Lytechinus pictus: one gene and its partners. The protein of the gene in region 2 binds, or shares a complex with, the protein of the main gene of each other region. Links are inferred from orthologs where the notes say so. Each region holds a gene or a part of one and is shown on either strand. Other genes may lie near its edges.

The links. The genes of interacting proteins can lie anywhere in the genome.
Region 1: mediator of RNA polymerase II transcription subunit 8-like (region 2) and mediator of RNA polymerase II transcription subunit 7-A-like share a complex: the UniProt entries of both Drosophila melanogaster proteins name them as parts of the mediator complex. The link is inferred for Lytechinus pictus from reciprocal best matches to the Drosophila melanogaster genes MED8 and MED7.
Region 3: mediator of RNA polymerase II transcription subunit 8-like (region 2) and mediator of RNA polymerase II transcription subunit 31-like share a complex: the UniProt entries of both Drosophila melanogaster proteins name them as parts of the mediator complex. The link is inferred for Lytechinus pictus from reciprocal best matches to the Drosophila melanogaster genes MED8 and MED31.

The regions. Positions count from the first base shown.
Region 1 is NC_087254.1:21,137,313-21,143,763, reverse strand, and holds the start of mediator of RNA polymerase II transcription subunit 7-A-like, read right to left. Parts: upstream 4,506-6,451; 5' UTR 4,333-4,505; intron 1,979-4,332; 5' UTR 1,974-1,978; coding exon 1,269-1,973; 3' UTR 1-1,268. UniProt on the Drosophila melanogaster protein: Component of the Mediator complex, a coactivator involved in the regulated transcription of nearly all RNA polymerase II-dependent genes.
Region 2 is NC_087255.1:17,124,452-17,130,902, forward strand, and holds the start of mediator of RNA polymerase II transcription subunit 8-like, read left to right. Parts: upstream 1-2,377; 5' UTR 2,378-2,495; coding exon 2,496-2,501; intron 2,502-4,646; coding exon 4,647-4,765; intron 4,766-5,260; coding exon 5,261-5,295; intron 5,296-5,523; coding exon 5,524-5,633; intron 5,634-6,451. UniProt on the Drosophila melanogaster protein: Component of the Mediator complex, a coactivator involved in the regulated transcription of nearly all RNA polymerase II-dependent genes.
Region 3 is NC_087246.1:17,370,143-17,376,593, reverse strand, and holds mediator of RNA polymerase II transcription subunit 31-like, read right to left. Parts: upstream 4,790-6,451; 5' UTR 4,782-4,789; coding exon 4,694-4,781; intron 4,394-4,693; coding exon 4,297-4,393; intron 2,772-4,296; coding exon 2,330-2,771; 3' UTR 1,086-2,329; downstream 1-1,085. UniProt on the Drosophila melanogaster protein: Component of the Mediator complex, a coactivator involved in the regulated transcription of nearly all RNA polymerase II-dependent genes.

The sequences.
Region 1 (6,451 bases), on a different chromosome or scaffold from region 2:
CCGGTATAAGGTCTACCAAAAATGTAATCAACAGAATGTGAATAAACTCCTCCAAAAGTATCAGTAATAATATACATTCAGATGAAAGTATTTACTTACAGAATTCTGTATTCTTACTTGTCTATAAAGGTCACATTTTTTGTTTCCCTTGGGTGGTCACTACAGACAAGTTTTACGTTACTTTTTCCTTTTTATTTCAGGAGTAAATTGTATTTTGCCCTTTGCACACATGTTTTCTCACTGAACAAGGCCTGTAAATCTATATCTTTGCAAACGTCCTCATAATAACTTCTGTGCACATAAAAATCCTTTCTAAATCTATTTGCCTAATTTTTGTATTCAAGGCCAGTGAGGCCAGAGTCTTAAGGGTATGTGTAAAGGGAAAGTATTCTTTCACACTAACACTTTTAAGATGAATACTAGTTGTGGTAACGATCTCAAAAACAGAATCCAATTAAATTACCACCAAACGGTTTGTATGTATAAATAAATATGTGCCAAATAGCTCTGGAGAAAATGCATAATTGCTGAGAAATGAGCAAAATAAGCATGGAATTCCATCAAAATGTCTGTTATTTTTTGAAGCAATATTAATACACTGTCCGACTTATGCTTTTCTATGTTAGTGATCATCAGAATTATCGATTTTGAGCTAAGATTTCACGATTTTACAAAGATAAGTTTACATATAACGTAACAGATCGAGATGTATGATAATATCTTGACAACTAACCTTGATTTAAAAGACTTTCTCAGGGAATAATTGTTTGCTGCAACTACTTTCTTTTAGCTTTAAATTCAGGAGTCACAACACAGCATGTAGACCTGTAGACTACATCATAGCAAAATTAAATGTTGCACTGACAGCATTTGAAACTGTCAGGTGAATAAACAATACATGTGAATATACATGTAACCATCCAGTGGAAATTGCATTATTTGATCAGTCAAGATATCCCTAAAATAGTGTCATGATATAGTATGGTTTCTGACCCTTGACCTTCAATCAGAGGGACATGGGTTCAAATCCAAGCCACTGTGCTGATTCTTTCAGCAAAATAAAAAGCATTCACATCCTGCTGGGAGTGCTGGAGTTGACCCAGAAAATGTGAACTAGAAAACTTGAATATGCCCAAGCATCTGAAAGCACTACTGGAGTCAAAGCAATGCCCTTTGAAACAGCATAAATATTATGCACTCCTATTATGCACTGTACAAAACAAAATATTCAAATATGTATCTTTGTCCAACAAAAAATATGTCTATATTCAGAGTGCATCAATAAGATCACACATGAGTTTATCCTTGTAGCGAGATCCTTCATTCTTTTCTTTATCAACCTTATCTTCAACTTCTCTCTTGACAACAACATCATCTCCTTTTACCCTGGCCATCATCTCAGCTGCCTCTGGTTCTATCTTAACAGCAACTTTGCTATCAATGTTCTCAACATTGTCAGGTAACGACATAAAACACCCCTGAAGAATCTCCGTCACCTTCTCCAAGTGTTTTTGGAAACGTTCTGCCGTATCAAGTCTCTGTCGTTTCTGCACCTCCATCATGACACGCAGCGTTTCCCTGGCTTGGTGTGGACGAAATTCATTGATCAAATGATGCATGTGAATGAAGAGGAGATTCATATCGTCCAACTTTTCCTCTCTCCTTGGCCCGTTCGGACAGACGATAAGTGTGTCTATGAGGTCGAGGAAGTTCACAAGAATGGAATGGTTGATTTTCTTTAGCTCCTTCTTGTGGTCGAACCGCTGCGGATGAAGACGCTTCAAACCCTGCGACTCGAGAGGACGAATGATATCATCATTGGAAACGAATGTGGCTCCAAACATTCCATATGCTTCTTGTACGGGTAGAGGAGGTTTAGGCGTGGTCTTGTTGAGTACTCGCTCATCAGTGTAGTTAGCAATATACATCATTGGAGGGAGAGGGAGAGAGCTTACTCCCTGTGGTTCATTCATGTTGTCTGCAGAAAAATAAGAGGGAAAATAAGTTAACAATATTATCAAGAAAGTGCCAATTATCTTATAGTGTGGAAATGTTTTAAATCTTATTTGATTAATTTCTTCCATCTTATTTCCTTTCAATTTCTGTTGCCGGTACATGATTAATGTATTTGGCATGGTAAATTGGTAAAAATAATACTTTCATAGCCAGCCCAATTCAAATGCCTATTTTTAGCAAACTCATTTGAGATCAATTTTTGCAAAGCTTTTCTCTCCAAAAAAAAATGCATTAATCACCTGAATTTCAGCCACACAGGGAAAAGTTATATTCTTGCTTCGATCTCTATGCTGATTGTTTTAATACTCAGTCACACTTTGTCTTTGCCAAATACATGGCCTAAGTTGACGTAAAAATTGAATTTAAAAAAAGATCAAATTTCCATTTGAACTTTTTTTTAAATCCGCGGGGGGGGGGGGGGGGGGGGTGTTTCACAAAGATTTAACTGTATGACTTAAAAGTTAAAGTCGCAATGAAACGCGCAATCCTATTGATCAATAGACAATACGTAGTGCGCGTCCTCTTGGCATGATCTGACAAATGTAGTCACGCCTGGCTTTACATGTAACGTTAGACCTAGGCTAGACCTGATGATGTATACCGCATGTGACAACTTGGACCAAAGGCTTTGGTCTCTGTCAGCGGCGTAACAGGGGTCGCGGGCCAGGGGGGCAAGAGCCAAATTTTTCCCGGATGCGAGTAAAGTGAATTGAATTTGTTAAGTCGCCAGCGTGCAAAGCGAGCTGGAAAAAAAAATTGCCTATTGAAATTAAATTCTAATTATGTGATAGATTTTTCCATTATATTCAGCAAATAACACATTTCATTGTTTCCATTCATTTCATTATACGTTGTCTCCTAAAATTTATTTTATTTCCTCTTGGGTGTGGAACCAAGACCCCCCCCCCCCCCCCCGCGCCTGTATGCCAGTGATTGAACGTCATTGAACGGGGGCGTTATAGAGCCATTTGATGGTTATAGATGAAGAGCCCCTACTGCGGGTACTGCAAAGCCCCGGTAGCTTATTTGCATAAAATTTAGCAAGCTTACATGTATAGCACAATGTTGTGTGCAGTCCATCTTTCTTCTCGCTCTTTATTTTCAATCCTTGGCAGCCCGGTCATGTTATCGTTTTTCTTTTTCTTGTCCCTTTTCTTTTTCTTATCTAGCTTTTGACTTATTCCATTCTACAATGTACCTTCGTTTCCCGCTATTGTTTGCCATTTTGTCATCTTTTAATTTATTTCCCATCATGCTATTGCATCACATAAGCCTATTTTGGAATGATTTGTTCTTTGTCAAATGTTCTTCTTTCGCACCTTTTCCCGCTTTTTTTCCTTTTCCATAAAAAAAAAAAATCTTCGTTTTCTTTTCCCTTTCCTTTTCCTCCTTTCCTCCCCCTTTCCTTCTCCCTCCCTTTTTTTCTTTTCCCTGTTTTTTTTTATTTTCCCGGTGAAATCCGCCAGGGCCCCCCCCCCCCCCCCCCCGCCTGTTACGCCACTGGTCTCTGTTATATTGGTTGTTCCGCTGAACTCCGTTGGCTCGATCCACTCACCAATTTATACAGAGACCGAAGTTCTAACTCGATCTGTACAGGGACTCAATGCCAATGGCCATACTATGTATTAAGTTTGTATAAACCAGGGAAGTGGGAGTTGCGCGACAGCTGAAGTACTCCATGTAAGTCACTGTTTTTGTTGTTTTTTTCCTTTTTTAATTTTAGTTTTATTTTTTTAAGTTTAATTTTTTCCTATTTTGGTGCATTTCAGGCCAAAATGGAATAATAACCTGGCTTTATTTTGGTCCAGTTCTTATTTATATTATATAATTTCATAATATGAAATAAAGACGAAAATCGATGAGCCCCGTCAAGGGGATTTTGCATTGTTAAACCCCTAATGGCGGCTGCATGATCGTGAGCCGTCTGTGACTGTGTACGAGGAGAAATTTAAAAAACAATGTAAAAAGAAAAACTCCTCGAAACAGACGGCTGCCAGCCGTCTGTTGACGACTCAAATGCGACCCTAAGTTAGTCATACTTGACTCTTGACCCCCCTGAACTAAGTAATTTAAGGCACATGTGCAACACTAACTTCAGAGTCAGATTAACAATCAACACAGTATTACGCAGCTGCCTTTGCCTAGCCTTCACAAGCCAGACTCCTCCCCGGAAGTTCAGGCAGGCGAAGGAATAAAATACCGCACACATGAAACTTGCAATAAAATACCGCACACATGAAACTTGCCTCGCAGTGATCGATCACCGGCAAGTCATTAAAATAACTTAAATAAGCGTAAAATTTCGTATGAACTCACATTAGCCTGGATTGATGTTTGAGCCACTCGAAGACTGAAAATTTGAAACAAATTTCGAACAGATCAGCACTAGAAATAGGCAAGGAAAAACGAAGATTTCTCTTCTGCCGTACCTCTAGTCTAGCTCTTCGGCGCGGCGCCGGCTAGCTAGCTAGCTTGGATGACAATCGTCTAAAGATGGCGCTACAGTGTTCGTTATAATGCATGAACACAAAATTAGCATTTATATTTTTTTCAAAAGCTGTATACTGTATGATTGCAAGAACATGACTTTATCTAACTTAATAGTATTAATGAAAGATAATCGACCCTATACAAGTATCCAGCCCTATCACTTTTTTTCCTTTTTTTTGCCTTCCTTTCTTTCAATATCTTCCGATCTTCGCTTCTTTATATATTTATCTCTTCTTTTTTCCATTCCTTGTTTATTCTTTCCTTTATTTCTGAATTTTAAATTCTTTAAATTGGCTGAGCATCTAGAAATATTACATTGGCTGTCATCATTATCCTTGTAACCTACAATCCAACATGAATCTATTTTTTTCTGGACTTGTCGTCTTGAAAATTATATACGTTTTTGTGTACTTTTCTAGACTGACCCCTCCCAAAGTAAGAAAATAAGGTGATCCTGAGTTTTCTCCTCTGCTCTTGTCTAGCTTCGTCCCCACATTCCCTCCTCCTCCTTCTTCTCCATCATCATCTTATTCTTCCTCTTCTTCTTTTCCCTCCTTTTCCCCCCTCTTATGAAATTATTAATTGCAATGATCACTATATCCATCTCCTGCCATGACCTTCAATGTATTACATGTACATACAGTAGGGAGGCAGCGTAGCTCAGTCGGTTAGAGCGCATGTTTCGGATAAGATCGTAGATCTCAACGTGAGGGGTTCGAGTCCCGCTCATGCCGAAACGCGTCTAACAAAAAAAGTCTGATGCTATAGCGTTGTGTGTTAGCGTGCCTCACCACTGTATTCAGTGCAGGTGTGAATACAGTTGGAAAACACTCCGTCCATCGGAAAGGACGCAAATGTTGGTCCCGTGTATAGGAGAGGTACAACCTATGCACGTTAAAACCAATACACTATTCGTCAAAGAGTAGGGTGTTCACCCGGTGTATTGCACCTGCCGGTCCCGGCAAAAATCCAGGTCAAGTACCCGATGCGTTTATGCCCAGAAGGGCCCTGCATCGTATACATCCAGATCCAGTGGTGCTAAAAAGTTTAGTGAACCCCACCAGAAAATGAATATATTTCAAGTGCTCAAGTTCTGCCTTGTATAAGACATATTTGTAATTGTGAAGTCAGGTGATAAAATATTAAATTCAATAAGGTTTGTTTCTCTGGGCTTGCTAAACATTGTAGTGCTCCTGTATCCATTGTTTGTTAGTTAGTTTGTTTATTTATTTTATGATTATTAAAAACACAATACATATTATATATATAACAAATAGATGGCATCAATTGAAATAAACAAAATGAATTGCAAATATGTTGAATATATAAAATAATCAAAAGGATTGCCCATTGAACACTCAGCATAAAGGAGTACATTTTCTGGTGGGGTGCACTAACTTTTTAACACCACTGTACACTTTACCCTCTGAACACTTCAAAGCCAATACAGACACAGAATGTGGAGAAATACACCATGCAAATGAACTTCATTTGTGAGAGACATGGAAGATTTTTTATTTATCATTGGCCCAATGATCATACAAAATATGGTAAACATATTATCGGGAACATTTTTAAAGTAAAAAAAGGGTCGAGTTTCACTGTGCCTTAGAAGTTTAGAAAGAGATGCATTGAATAATATTACTTCACATACAATCAATCATCTTTGTAATACACTTATGTATGTCATATCACAGGGCTAAAATCAAATCTATTAAGATAAAAAAAAAACTCCTGATTTGAAACGAAGAATACATTTGCTAATCAATTCCATTGCACTTTATAAGAATTTAAACCCCAGATAACTTTGATTAAATTAATCCCATCACCCACCGAAATAAATAAAACACATATTTGAAATGTGTAGGCAGTAATAGACATAACAAGTACTTACAAACATATGTCTATTAAATAAGAAATATTGTTGGAAGTACATAAGAGTAGA
Region 2 (6,451 bases):
TTGCCCCATGTAAAGGTCTTCGTATATATGAAACATTTCCTGTCCGTGATTACGTTCGCATTAGTGGATTGGTGAGATATGTCTACTTTTCATAAATTCCTAAAATCAGTCCTTAAAATGTCCCTTCTGATCTGAATATCAAAAATTTTCAGCTCGCGCTTCGCGCTCGCATCATTTGGTTAATGAAATACGTATGGTCCTAGTTATTTCTTAAAAAAAAAACCTTAGAATGCCCCACTTCCGGTCTGAATTATCTAAATTTTCAGCTCGCGCTTCGCGCTCGCATTGTTTAGCGAGACAGGTACCTATCATGATTACACAAATTTGATTATAATGTCCCTTTTTAGGAGAGAATATGAAAAAAATTTCAGCTCGCGCTTCGCGCTCGCATTATTTGATCAGTGAGATACATATCAGTTTAATGACATCGTCCTTAAAATGTCTCTATTAGGGCAGTATAACTGGTAACTGAGCGCGCTCACTATAGCGCACTCACTCAGTGATTCAAAATTTTTGCTGGTGCCCCCCCCCCATGCCGTGATCACGGTACGCCACTGTGGACATATCAATGGCAATTCCTTGCATATCTAAAAACATGATTGCAAAAAAAATGCCAAAATATTTCAGTCATCCCCCCCCCCCACCCATCAACACGGATTTACGCCAGTGCGCTCTACCAGTCAGCAAAGTGATGTACAAGTACTGCCCCGTTTCAGATCTGAAAAGAACAGAACACAACACTAAAAAACTGGTAACTCTGCAGTTGGCAAATTCATGAAGACAAGTCTACAACTTGTAGACTTGTCTACAAGTTTGCAGTTGGCAAAAAACACAAAAATGTTCTAAGTTATATTTACAAATTATGTCGCCGAAGAATTTTTTTTAATTTATGGTGTCAGAATGTGCTTGGGGTGGGGATGGGTGGGATTGGGGGCAGGTTGGGGTTGCATCATTCCTGGTGCTCGCATTGTCTGACTAATGAGATATATAGTCCTGTTGTATTTTAAGTCCATAAAGATTATGCACCAAATTATCTCCTCGCACTTCAAGTTATTATTGTTTTATGAAGTGACATCTGCTTTTTTCATGACTATATACTTAAGGTGATTGCCCCCTATTAAGGCCTTAATAAAACATTTCCAGTCTGTGCTTACGTTCGCATTGGTGTGGACCGATTTAGATACCGGGCTGGTATTAAATCAACACTGGCGTTTTTGCAGTGCACAAATTCCTAAAGACAGTCCTTAAAATGTTCCCTTTTCTGATCTAATTATAACAAATTTTCAGCTCGCGCTTCGCGTTCGCATCACTTAATTAGTGAAATAGTAAATTCCTACAAACAAGCCATAGAAGGTCCAAATTGAAAAAATTGTCAGCTCGCGCTTCTCGCCCGCAATATTTCATTAGTGAAATACGTATCATGTTAATGATTACAATGACCACAAAAAGTGCTTCATGTACCAGTGTAATTCTAACAAAATCAGCAAGCGCTTGGCGCTTTCATTAGATGACTATGATGAGATACGTACGCACTTCATAAATTCCAAAAGATAGTCCTTAAAATGTCTCTTTTTAGGGTTAAGTTAAACAAAAAATTTCAGCCCGCGCTTCGCGCTCGCATTGTTTGTTTTGTGAGACAGGTACGTATCATGATTACAAAACTTTGCTTATGTCCCTTTTAGGACTGAATATCAAACATTTTCAGCTCGCGCTTCGCGCTCGCATTATTTGATCACTAAGATACATATCCGTTTAATGGCACAGTTTTAAAATGTCTCTATTAGGTCAGTATACCTGGCAATTGAGCACGCTTCGCGCGCCCACTTAATGACTCAAAATTTTTGCTGGTGCCCCCCCCATGCCGTGACCCACGGTACGCCACTGTTAGCAGTACTTAGCACTCTTGAAATTTCAGTTGAGACATCTTGCACAGAAGGTCAATTAAAAATTAACAAATCTTTGATTTTCATATTATTAATGCATATGGGGCATTATACTGCAAGTTAGCAACATCGGCACACTATAGCCTTTCTATTTTGATCCAAAATGTTTATTTTCACAGTGCAAATATCTTTGTATATTTTTGTATAATTTACCTTAAAGTATTCACCAAATGCCACTAATTCAATTCTAAAAATTCAAAATCTTTTAGCATGTGATTATTGTGGGGGGGGGGGGCACATCCCCCATCTGCCCTGTGCTCACGTTGGCGCTGTCACGCCAAATGTAGTTGGCAAATTTAGCTGGTACACCCCCCCCCAACAAAATGCTTCTGGCTACGGCCCTGCCTGTATGGACCCTTCAATTCCTACGTTAATCACTGGCGTACAGGGGGGGGGGGGGGGGGGGGGGCATAGCTTTAAACGAGATCAGTGTGGACGCCCTCTGCGTTTGTTGACTGTCATCTGACGCTTGAAGAAAAGGAAAATAGCCCTGATAAACTGCCTCAAAAAGAGGCTTCTTTGAAGTGGTGTCGCGATATCATTTTCTTCAAAATGCAGGTAAAGTCGGAATTAATAGAATATATTTTTATTTTATGGAATTTAGGAGGCACACGTCCCATAATGAAGTCTAATTTTCCCTAAAACTTAATTCCAGTCCCTTTCGTTTAAATTTGCGTCTCCAAATCTGACTGTAAGTGCAACTGCAAGTAAGTAAGTTGAACTTCAAAGTTCAAGTAACCTATACGGTTACCCCCAAATTAAGATAATAATTAATATTGGCGAATGATACATCAAATGAAAGGTCTTTGCATTAGAAATGAAAAAAAAAGAAAATTCGTCCAACCGTTGAGGAATTATGGGTAATAAAATATCAAATTTTTCTACCGCAAAAAATGCCAAAATGTGATGGCATGACTGACATGACTGATGCCTCAAATTTTTTTGTGGTATCTAACGTTAGTCTAAATTATATATTACGTTTGAAAATTGCGCCACGTCATTCCAAGAATATTTTCCCTCGAGTCTTGCGAAACTTTTTGAGTCCAAATTTACAATACTAAGTAATTAGTATACTCTGGGGCCCGTTTCTCAACACATGGACAAGTTAGTCATATCTTTATCCACCAACCACGGAGTTAGTTCCAATCTTACTAAATCTGTTTCTCGAAAAGTTTCCTAACTAGAATACCTTGATATCGATACTATCGGTAGAAAGAGCAGACGAGACGTAGCCTTAGTCACAAAATAGCATTAATATTCAAAAAGAAAAATTATGACAAAATTGCAAATATTGTGATAAATTGGGAAATAAATATTTTCAAAATAATAGCACAGGTGAATTATGCATCATACATACTTAGACCATGAAGACTTGAGCATTCAATTGCAGAGAAAATGAAATTATGAATAATTCATTTCATGACTAAAAAATCACTTGTGGACGTTGAGATTGGGTACCCCCGGGATATCCAATTTTAATAGTTTACGAAAGTAAACCATAACGGTTTTCTTTGTAAAATGATGATAATTATGCGGTCTTTTACGATTCCGAACGTCATCAAAATATAGTTCAACAAAACATTTTTAACCATTAATACCATCATACCGGAACATACGATATTTGACAAATTATATGCATAAATTAGAGATAGAATTTATCCAACTGTTAATAGGGGTCTGAAAACAACAAATACGAGTTCAGTTATGGATGGCCTGACGTGGTAGAATATTTATCGATTAAATCATTTTACTATTTCAAAATGAATGGTTTTGTGGCGTTTTACCAATAGTTTTTATAGTTTCTTTGTATTACAATTATCATTGAATGCATTAACCCACTTGTTTTGTGATGTAACTTCAACCTCTATGATGATTACGTAAGATTATGATTTTAAAATTTCTATGCGCTTTTGCATGTCATAGTCTACCCACGTGATGCCACTACGTCATTAAGAAAGAAGTTATGACAGGTTCGGAGGTGTCATAAATATTTAGTGAGGTTGTTGTACCCGATCTTGGTAAAGAGGGCTTCGTGAAACGGTTAGCGGACAAGTAGCTCACTATCTCCGATTTAGTCAAGAAGTTAGACTTATGACGGTGTTGAGAAACGGGCCCCTGGTATGCGGATATATAGTAGGCCTAGCCTTGAAGTTGAGGACTCCATGATGATGTTTTTTAAATATTTTGACATATACTTCTTCATTATGGAGCCTTGACACTCTTTCCATAGACGCTGCAGTAAGACCTACACACCCGGATGGATTTCCCTAGGAAATCCATAGTTAAAAGGTGAAATCGGTTTGTAGAGGTGAATTTTATTTATCTATCAACCTTCATGCGCCTAGCCAGGGCAGGAGGCTTCTAGAGAGTAAAAATAATTTACTAACGTATACTTACTCTCCATGAAGCCAGGAATTCCTTTCCATTCATCTGCACGTACCGGCCAAAAACCTGAAACTTTCGCCCCTGAGATTTCTACTTCTAAAAGATCTAGCCCTAAATCATGCGCATGGGATACAACTTCATTTCCAACATTTCTACGCTATCAATTTTATTTTTAAACAAGAATTCATCCAAAAAATGAGAAAAATATTATAAAAAGACGGAAGAGACTTGCCCGATGTTTACGCCGCCATCTTGTTTCCTATTGTTCTTCCCCAACGTTACGGACGCGTCCGTCATTTTTTTCTTTTTTAATTTTAGAATCAAGACAAAGTTTTGGACAATTCTTTGGATTACATCTCGAGCAGAGTCAACGATTTGAAGAAGGCCCTAACAGACCTTCTCATGAAACTTGAACATCATCATGAAACTCTCAGTTGGTAAGTTAACACGACAGCATTATGACAATACTAATGAAAAAAAAAGAAAACAAACAACCAAAAGAAATTGAAAAAAAAATGGGTATATAATATTTTCACAGCTAAAAGCTCTCAGCCACAACTTTGTTTTTCTTAATCTACAGTTTGCACCCTTACAATATGTTGATTTTATTAAAAGAAAATAATGGCTTAAAAGAAAATAATTAAATAAATCAACCAAGTATAGCTAATGTGCTAATAAAATGCTCCGTTTGTACCACATGTATAATAAATTAAGTACCGGTATTTCAATTTTAAACCAATATATTGAATCAAAAAAAAAAAGTAAATTAATGCATGACTTTGTTCAATTTAAAGACATGAATATCCAAAATGGAATCTCAAAGTTTTCCTGTCTATTTTAATTGGTATGACCGCATTGTAGATACAGTATTTTCTCCGAAAAATTGTAGGGAAAATAGTCTAAATCTTCTATTAATCTATCTGTCTTTGCAGGCCATCTGTTCTCAACAGTTTTGCTCTATTATCAGGTATGTATTTTTTTCATTGGTCAAATTACTATAATTTCCGTTCATATTAAAGATGATATTACTCTAGCAAAGTTATTGAAAACTTTGGTTGCAGGCCAATGTATAATATGAATGTAATAATTTTTTGCTTTGTGTTATATTTTGGAATATCATGTTTGTAATATTCTGTTTGGTTTTAAGATGGTAGCATAATAAATAAAGCAATTAATATCTTATTTCAAATTACAGGTCAGATTAACACATTACATCGGCATCTCAAGAGTGATAAGACTCCAGCACTGAAGAACCTGATCATTCTCCCACTCAAACTATCACAAGATAGAGATGAAGAACTAGAGGTATGCATTTGCTTTCACAAACATTTACCTTCATTGGTGGAATACGCCACAAGGAGTGGAGATTGATACTAAGTCTAATGCAGGGCGCGACAAACCCGCTTGCCCGGGGCAAGTGAAAAGGACGTGCGGGCAAGCATTTCTCAAAGTCAATTGCCCGATCGGACAAGTGGTTGTTTTGGAAATAAAATACCAGTAGACCCTTTAAATTTCAATATCTTTTGGATAATCACAACTATCTCTCACTCATATTATGTCAAACCAGTAATAAAAAACAGTGGAAACTGATGTAAAATCAGCGCCAATTACCAATAATTTATCGCCAGGTACCTCGTTTGAAAAACCATGCCATTGCATCTTGCGTTCTATGTGTGCAATGACTGCGCATGCGCTACTATCTTGCGCAATTTGCCGATGCAAACAAACAACAAAAAAACACCAAAAGTGGCTAAAATTTCACATTTTGCAAAAATCCATGAAATGGCCATCTATTTTCCATTTTACCTTGAAATTGTTTTGATTTAGTTGGAAACTACTGAAAAAAATGAAGAATATTCAGCCCTATTTGACTCTCTTTCTTGATTCTGATTTATTATGATGTTACACTCGGTAAATGTTCTTTATTATTGTGGTCCCACATGTAGACTTTTATGGTGTTGACCAAGTGTAAAACGATCAAAACTGTTTAAAAAAAACCCCATGAAAGTCTACATGCGGGACTAGAATTAAACAAATATTGATCCAGTGTAACATCATAAAATGATGAAGAAAAGACAGAGACAGGTGAATATTCTTAATTTTCTTAATAGTTTCCAACTAAT
Region 3 (6,451 bases), on a different chromosome or scaffold from region 2:
TTGTTTCTCTCAGAAGTTTTATTTCACTCTTTCTTCATTCATATCAGACTTTGAAGGATAAAATTGTAATCAGTAAATATTCAGTTTTATATTAATTTTGGTTTGAAATCCTTTCCCTGATAAACTTAAGAGGAATATTTTATCCATTTCAAGATCCAATATTCAGACCATTAACTTCCTGTCCACTGGATTTTAATTTATGCAAATATTTTTTTTTACATTTGATGTGTATTTCAATGCCATTTACAATATTACCCGACAAAAAGAATAATTCTACAGAATAATCTTTTCAAGTAAATAAAGAAAATATCATGTTATTATTTTACACCAAATCCTATAGTTGTAATAAATTAATATAAAAAAAACGTGGGGTATGAACTTGAGAGAAACTGTGGATGAAAGGATTTTGTATCATTTGTATGGCAGTATGCATTACAGATGGTGCTTTATACACTAACACAGCAATCACTAACTCACTGATTGCTTCATCAATCTAATCTCACTCCCCTTTTATTTTGGAATCCCCAACTGGGGCACTAGAGTTATAGGTTTCACAAATTAAATAATCTAAACTTGGATTATAGATAAAACTCACAAATACAGCACAAAACTAAGAGTACCAGAATTTATATCTTTTATATAAGCATATTTGGCATTAGAATTCTGTCATTTGTCATTTTCTTTGAAACAGTACATGTTGGGTAAAATGCTTTGAGATTTTTAGTGTAAGAAGAACATTTTTAATCAGCAAAATGACACAACTCTGGAAGTCATTTTTTTTTAGTGTAGATGAGTAAATTTCCCAAAATTAACAAGGAATCAAACAAAATATATGCACAAGCAAATACAGAACAAACAAACATACAACATGGGTATTCTAAAACACAACTCAAACATTTTACCTCACAGAAACTTCACATTTACTCACAGCAAAGACACACATGTACACACTGATACAAAATAATGTGTAGTTCAGGACACAGCTAGGGTCAGAAGGAGCTGGTCTCTATTCAAGGCTTTCGTGGTCAAGTAAGATTTCAGTCACAACCATCAATAAGTCAAGTATCATCAAACTCAATACCATGTAAATTTTCAGTTGATATTTATTTACAAAATATAGAGACAGGGAGAATACCTCTCTGAAATAATACAAAGTAACCATGAGAAAATGATAGATGTATGCATGCTTGGTCTACACCACTTCGTCTAGTTTGCAATATGGGTTATCTTCATTAAAAATTAATATAATAAACCCTTTATGGGTCATCTTTCCCTCCCCCATCAAAATTACCTTAGCATCAACCCTGGATGCATAATTGGGAGGATATGAAGGGGGGTTGTGATGCTCAACTTAACATTAACATTCCATTTGACATTGGGAATCATCACAATAATATCATGTGCATAAAATTCATTGCTGTTTTTATTTCAGAAAAGATAGTTTTGATGCATAACTTGTCTGTACAAAAGGGAAATAAAAATATATAAATCAAAACCAATTTCAAGTATCACTCATACATTTTTATTAATTTAATTTGATCATCACAATTCTTGGATTAACCTCAAGATTTAATTCAGCTGAGTAGCCAAAGATTTTTATTTTTTTTTAAAGGACAAACAAGAGTCATTATTCAATTCAATACCATAATTTTTTTTTACCAAAACTTGAAATAGGCTTAAACAACAGATCATTGTAGATGCACCCTGTCAAGTGCTAGGATGCTGTCAATTCAGCAATTTGGGGACTGGGTGATATTACTTTCTATAACAGAGATTAAGTGCAGGGATCAGAAATATAGCAATATCTTGTTGAAAACTGAGTTTACTGTGTAGAAAAATACAACATTTAACTAAAATTGTAGCTTTTTTGGTCTCTGAGGTTGCTTCAGCTATAATAAACTAAAGTATGTTTGCACTTTAATATAACTAAAGATATTACTACTCCAGCTTTAGTTCAATTAATCATCATCAATATGATTTGTCCATTCAATGAATAAATTCTACCAGCAGAACCATCCAAATGTGTACATCACCTGGGTCATGTGGACAAATTTCTTGAAGGAAATTACCATCCTGGAGTGGGTGTACACTTGCAACCCTTAGATTGAAAGTCAAAAGTCTGAACCACTAGACGATGTGGCTACAATAATTTGGTTGAACTGTAGGAAGTAATGCAACTTAGCTCCACTTGGTGTTCAATCTTTCTTCCAACAACGTCTTTAAATATCTTCTTCTGATATTCTCATACAAAGAAATTCCATAAGCTAACTTCAGCGGCTAGGTATTAGCCATCACAGAAGAAGCATAAATGGGATTGTATTCTTAATTATCATTTCATTGTTTGTTGTGTTGTAGATCCTTGTTGTAATGGCTTTTGTTCTTGTTGACCAGTTCTCATTTGTGAAGCCATTTGTTGATGTTGTTGCTGCTGATGTTGTGAAGCATGTTGCTGCTGTTGTTGCTGCTGATGAGGATGTTGCTGAGGTGGCAAGGGCGCTTGCATGATCCCTGCTGGCTGATTTGAAGTCCCACTTGTTGCCACTCCGCCGGCAGCTCCTGGGACTCCTTGTTGCTGCTGTTGCTGGGTGAGTTGTTGATGTTGCTGCATGTTCTCTAGATGAGACTGTTGTAGTCTCATACGCCTCCGAGTGTAGTGTTGCCAATGCAGAAGCTGCTGATCCTCAATAAACTTGACACACTGTGCATTGGCTAATTCTCTCCTAAAGTGTTCATACTGCAACAGCTCCAAGAAATGAAGACATTGTGGAAATCTAATACCAAAACAAGTAACAAATGGATCACTTTAAAAAAATCAATCAATCAAGTATTACATACACATTTAAAGGGGAAGTTCGCCCTGAAGAAAAGTTTGTTGTAAAAACAGCAGAAAAAATAATAAAAAATATTGGTGAAGGTTTGAGGATTAAAGATAAAGAAAGTTATTAGAATTCAAAGTTTTGGATTTGTGACTTCATATGCGTGCAGCATTTCTACATAGCGAATGGTAAAAAATCAATGAATTTCAAATTTTTTATGGTTCCTGATGACTTTATTTTGTTTTCTATTTATGATTGGGTGTGAAATGATTTGTCTATTGATATACAAAAGGCTCAGTAAAACCATTTTCAATTTTCTGAGAAAATGACATTTCATTGATTTTTTACCATTCGCTATGTAGGAATGCTGCTCGCATATGACGTCACAAATCCAAAACTTTGAATTCTAATAACTTTCTTAATCTTTGATGGATTATCTTCAAACCTTCACCAATATTTTTTATTACTTTTTCTGCTATTTTTACAATAAACTTTTCTTCAGGGTGAACTTCCCCTTTAAGTCTTCAAAATTCAATCTCTAATGTGTTGGTATTTACTTAAGACCAGATAACGCAAAAACATGTGCTATTTAGTACCTCTGCTATTTCGAACAGGGACTGATTCCTGTAGTCCTTTAGAGATTTGACTTTAGACACGCTCACCAGTATACATGTGTATATCTTTCTAGCACCACTTAATTTTAGCAAATTCAATTTTATTGACTCATTTTGATGCACAAGACTTTCAAACAAGCCTGGAAATTATATGTAAATAGTAGTTACTAAGCTAATGTCTGTATACTGAATTCAGTTCTAATTTGATCTCTGGTATAAAGTAATATTTCAAATATGTATAGCCAATCATGACACAAATCTCTCTTAAACAGATTCAATTTGTCAGCTTATTTCACACTCAGGCCATTCAGACCTGTCTGGGAATAATTACTAAAGGTTTCCTTCATCATTAATCATAAAGAAAGAACTCTGAAATATACTCAAGGATCACTTTTTTATCATTCTAATAATATGACAAACAACACATTTAGGATTTTATGTTGTGAAAACCTCTATTACGTATCCTCTCATAAAAAGAACACCTAATCTTGTGATAGACTACATGTAGATATGTATTAAAGTCATGGGGAAACTGTATGTGTGTGACATTACATAGCATTAGTGATCTCAATATTCAAATGCTCATAACTTTCTTATCATTCATTCAAACTTCCTCAAGCTTTCTGTTTCTATTTCTTAGAGTTTTCTCTTTTCTATGAATTCAACTGGTTTCAAGGGTTTCATTCTCTTGAAGGAATAGCACCATATATTGTGCTGGAAAAAGTATCAATTCTACAGTAGATTTTCCAAATCATATTCAATGAGTAATGGTATAAGCATACTTCTATGGGTTAAAAAAAAAAGAAAACAAAGAAAGTTGATTTGAATAAGTCTTAAATGGATTACAATCAAACTCTGATTCTTACTTGAGATATTTGGCATACTTAGGCTCCTTCCAATATTGAAGATACTGAAGATAGTTAACAAACTTTTTATCTTTGAAGTAACCTCTCTGGGCAAGAACTGTAAAATGAAAGAAAAATATCAGAATAATAATTGAAGATAAGGGATGTACCACAACGTATAAAGATTTATAACAAGTATTCTATGAACAATTGTGAGAATTCCTATCTCTTTCATTGCATATACTATTAACACAATATCAAAAGGATTTTTTTTGTTTTGTACCGTCCCAAAACAACATGGTTCAATAAAATATGAAGAGATTGTAAGGATTTTTTAAGTGTAAGCCAGTATTCTGAATTTGAAGAACATTTCAGGAACTGCATTAAGAGAGTAGAGGTATCTACTATTCATACTTACAGTTAAGATAGTGAGGGTTGGCTAGGCACTGAACAAACTCCAATTCCACTTCAAATCGGATCTGCTCTTGGTCTTGTGGAGGTTCCATTCCTTTATAAGACAAATATACAAAATAAGAATAAAGATGAAGCTGATTAGAAAATACACTTAATGTACATCTACTTTTATGATACTTAAAATTGATTTTCATTTGGCGTTACAGCTAAAAAAATCTCAAAATATATAAAAAAATTTACTTTCTTTTGACGTTATTATAGCAATATACTCTTTTATGTTGACACTTGACAGTCCTCCTTTGTCTTTTTTCTCCTTGTTCTACAAATACATTAAACTATCTAATGTACACTTGTACAGTATTGTAATGCAAGTACAGTGACTCAATAAAAATGGAGTAACTCTCACGCATATATATTATGCACTTTTGTATGTGTGTGTGAATTGTTTGCAGACATCTGCCGCCCTTTATATGCGTCTCGTAGCTTAGCTACCAACAAAGAGGACAAGATGGCCACGTAAACATCGGTAAGTTTGATCTCATCTTCTCATTATAATTTTTTTTTTTTTTTAATGTTTTAAAATATAATAAATATTGTATAAATGTCGGAATGAAAGGAGGAGAGCTAGAATGAAAAAAAAAGAAAATAATGGAAGGAGAGAAAGAACGAAAAGAAAAAGGAGAGGAAGGGAGAAAAGGAAGCAAAAAAATAAGGAAAGAAAGAATGAAGGAAATTTAAAAAGGAACAAGAAGGAAAGTAAGAGAAAGAAGGAAAGAAAAAATTAAGAGAGAGAAAGGATCAGCCTGGAAAGAAAAATAGTAAATAAAGATAGAAATTAGAATAAAAAAGGGCAAGCAGGAAGGATAGAAGAAAGAAGGATAAAAAAGAAAGAAAGAGGAAAAAATTCAAACTTCAAGCAACAAAAATCCAATCATCTAACAAAAATCATATTTGGTGTTTTTTAATACATTCTTACAATTTTTAAGAAATAAAATGTTTTAGAAATGAATAAGATTTAAAAGTGAAACATTGTCAAACTTAAAAATTAGATGAAATAACGGTGGCATCATACACAGGCATCTCCCATCTCATTACAAGTTCGCACCGATCACAACAAGACTCAAAATGAAAGCTGAAACAACTAGATCTAGTTATTTGTTGTTCCTCCCGATTCTCAAAATTTCCCGCTAAATTTGTAATTATTTTGGTGGAGAAACTGTTTATCAGGTGATAAATAATTTGGAGGGAGAAGACGTGTTTTTGCTTTGCTCTGAATATTGTCAACAAATACTTGGAAATACTTTGAAATGACTGCTTCATTTTACATTGTGTGAAAGCTAATTGGACACCAAAGCCAGTGATGTGATTTTTATTGTTTGACTTTTGAAAACTGCGACGTTATCGTCGGTAAGAACATTAATTTTCGTCAATTTTAATATTCAATCTTGTTTGAAAATCAACATCACGCGCGAGATACTAACGCGCATCACTAAGACGCATATGACTTTACGCTAAAAGGCATCTTTGAAGCGCAACATCCATCTCCATCCATCTCATCCAAATCAGGTCGGGTCAGTGTGACGTCATCGATAAACAGAGTATGCCAGGACCTAAGAAAAATCAGTCCATAACGTTCGAAGATTTCATTGAAATCAAGTCTGAACTTCAAAAACTAAACAAAACACTAACATCACAACTCAATGAAATTAAATCTGGTCAAGATGAACTTCGAAAATCTGCTGAGTTCTTCAGCGATAAAGTG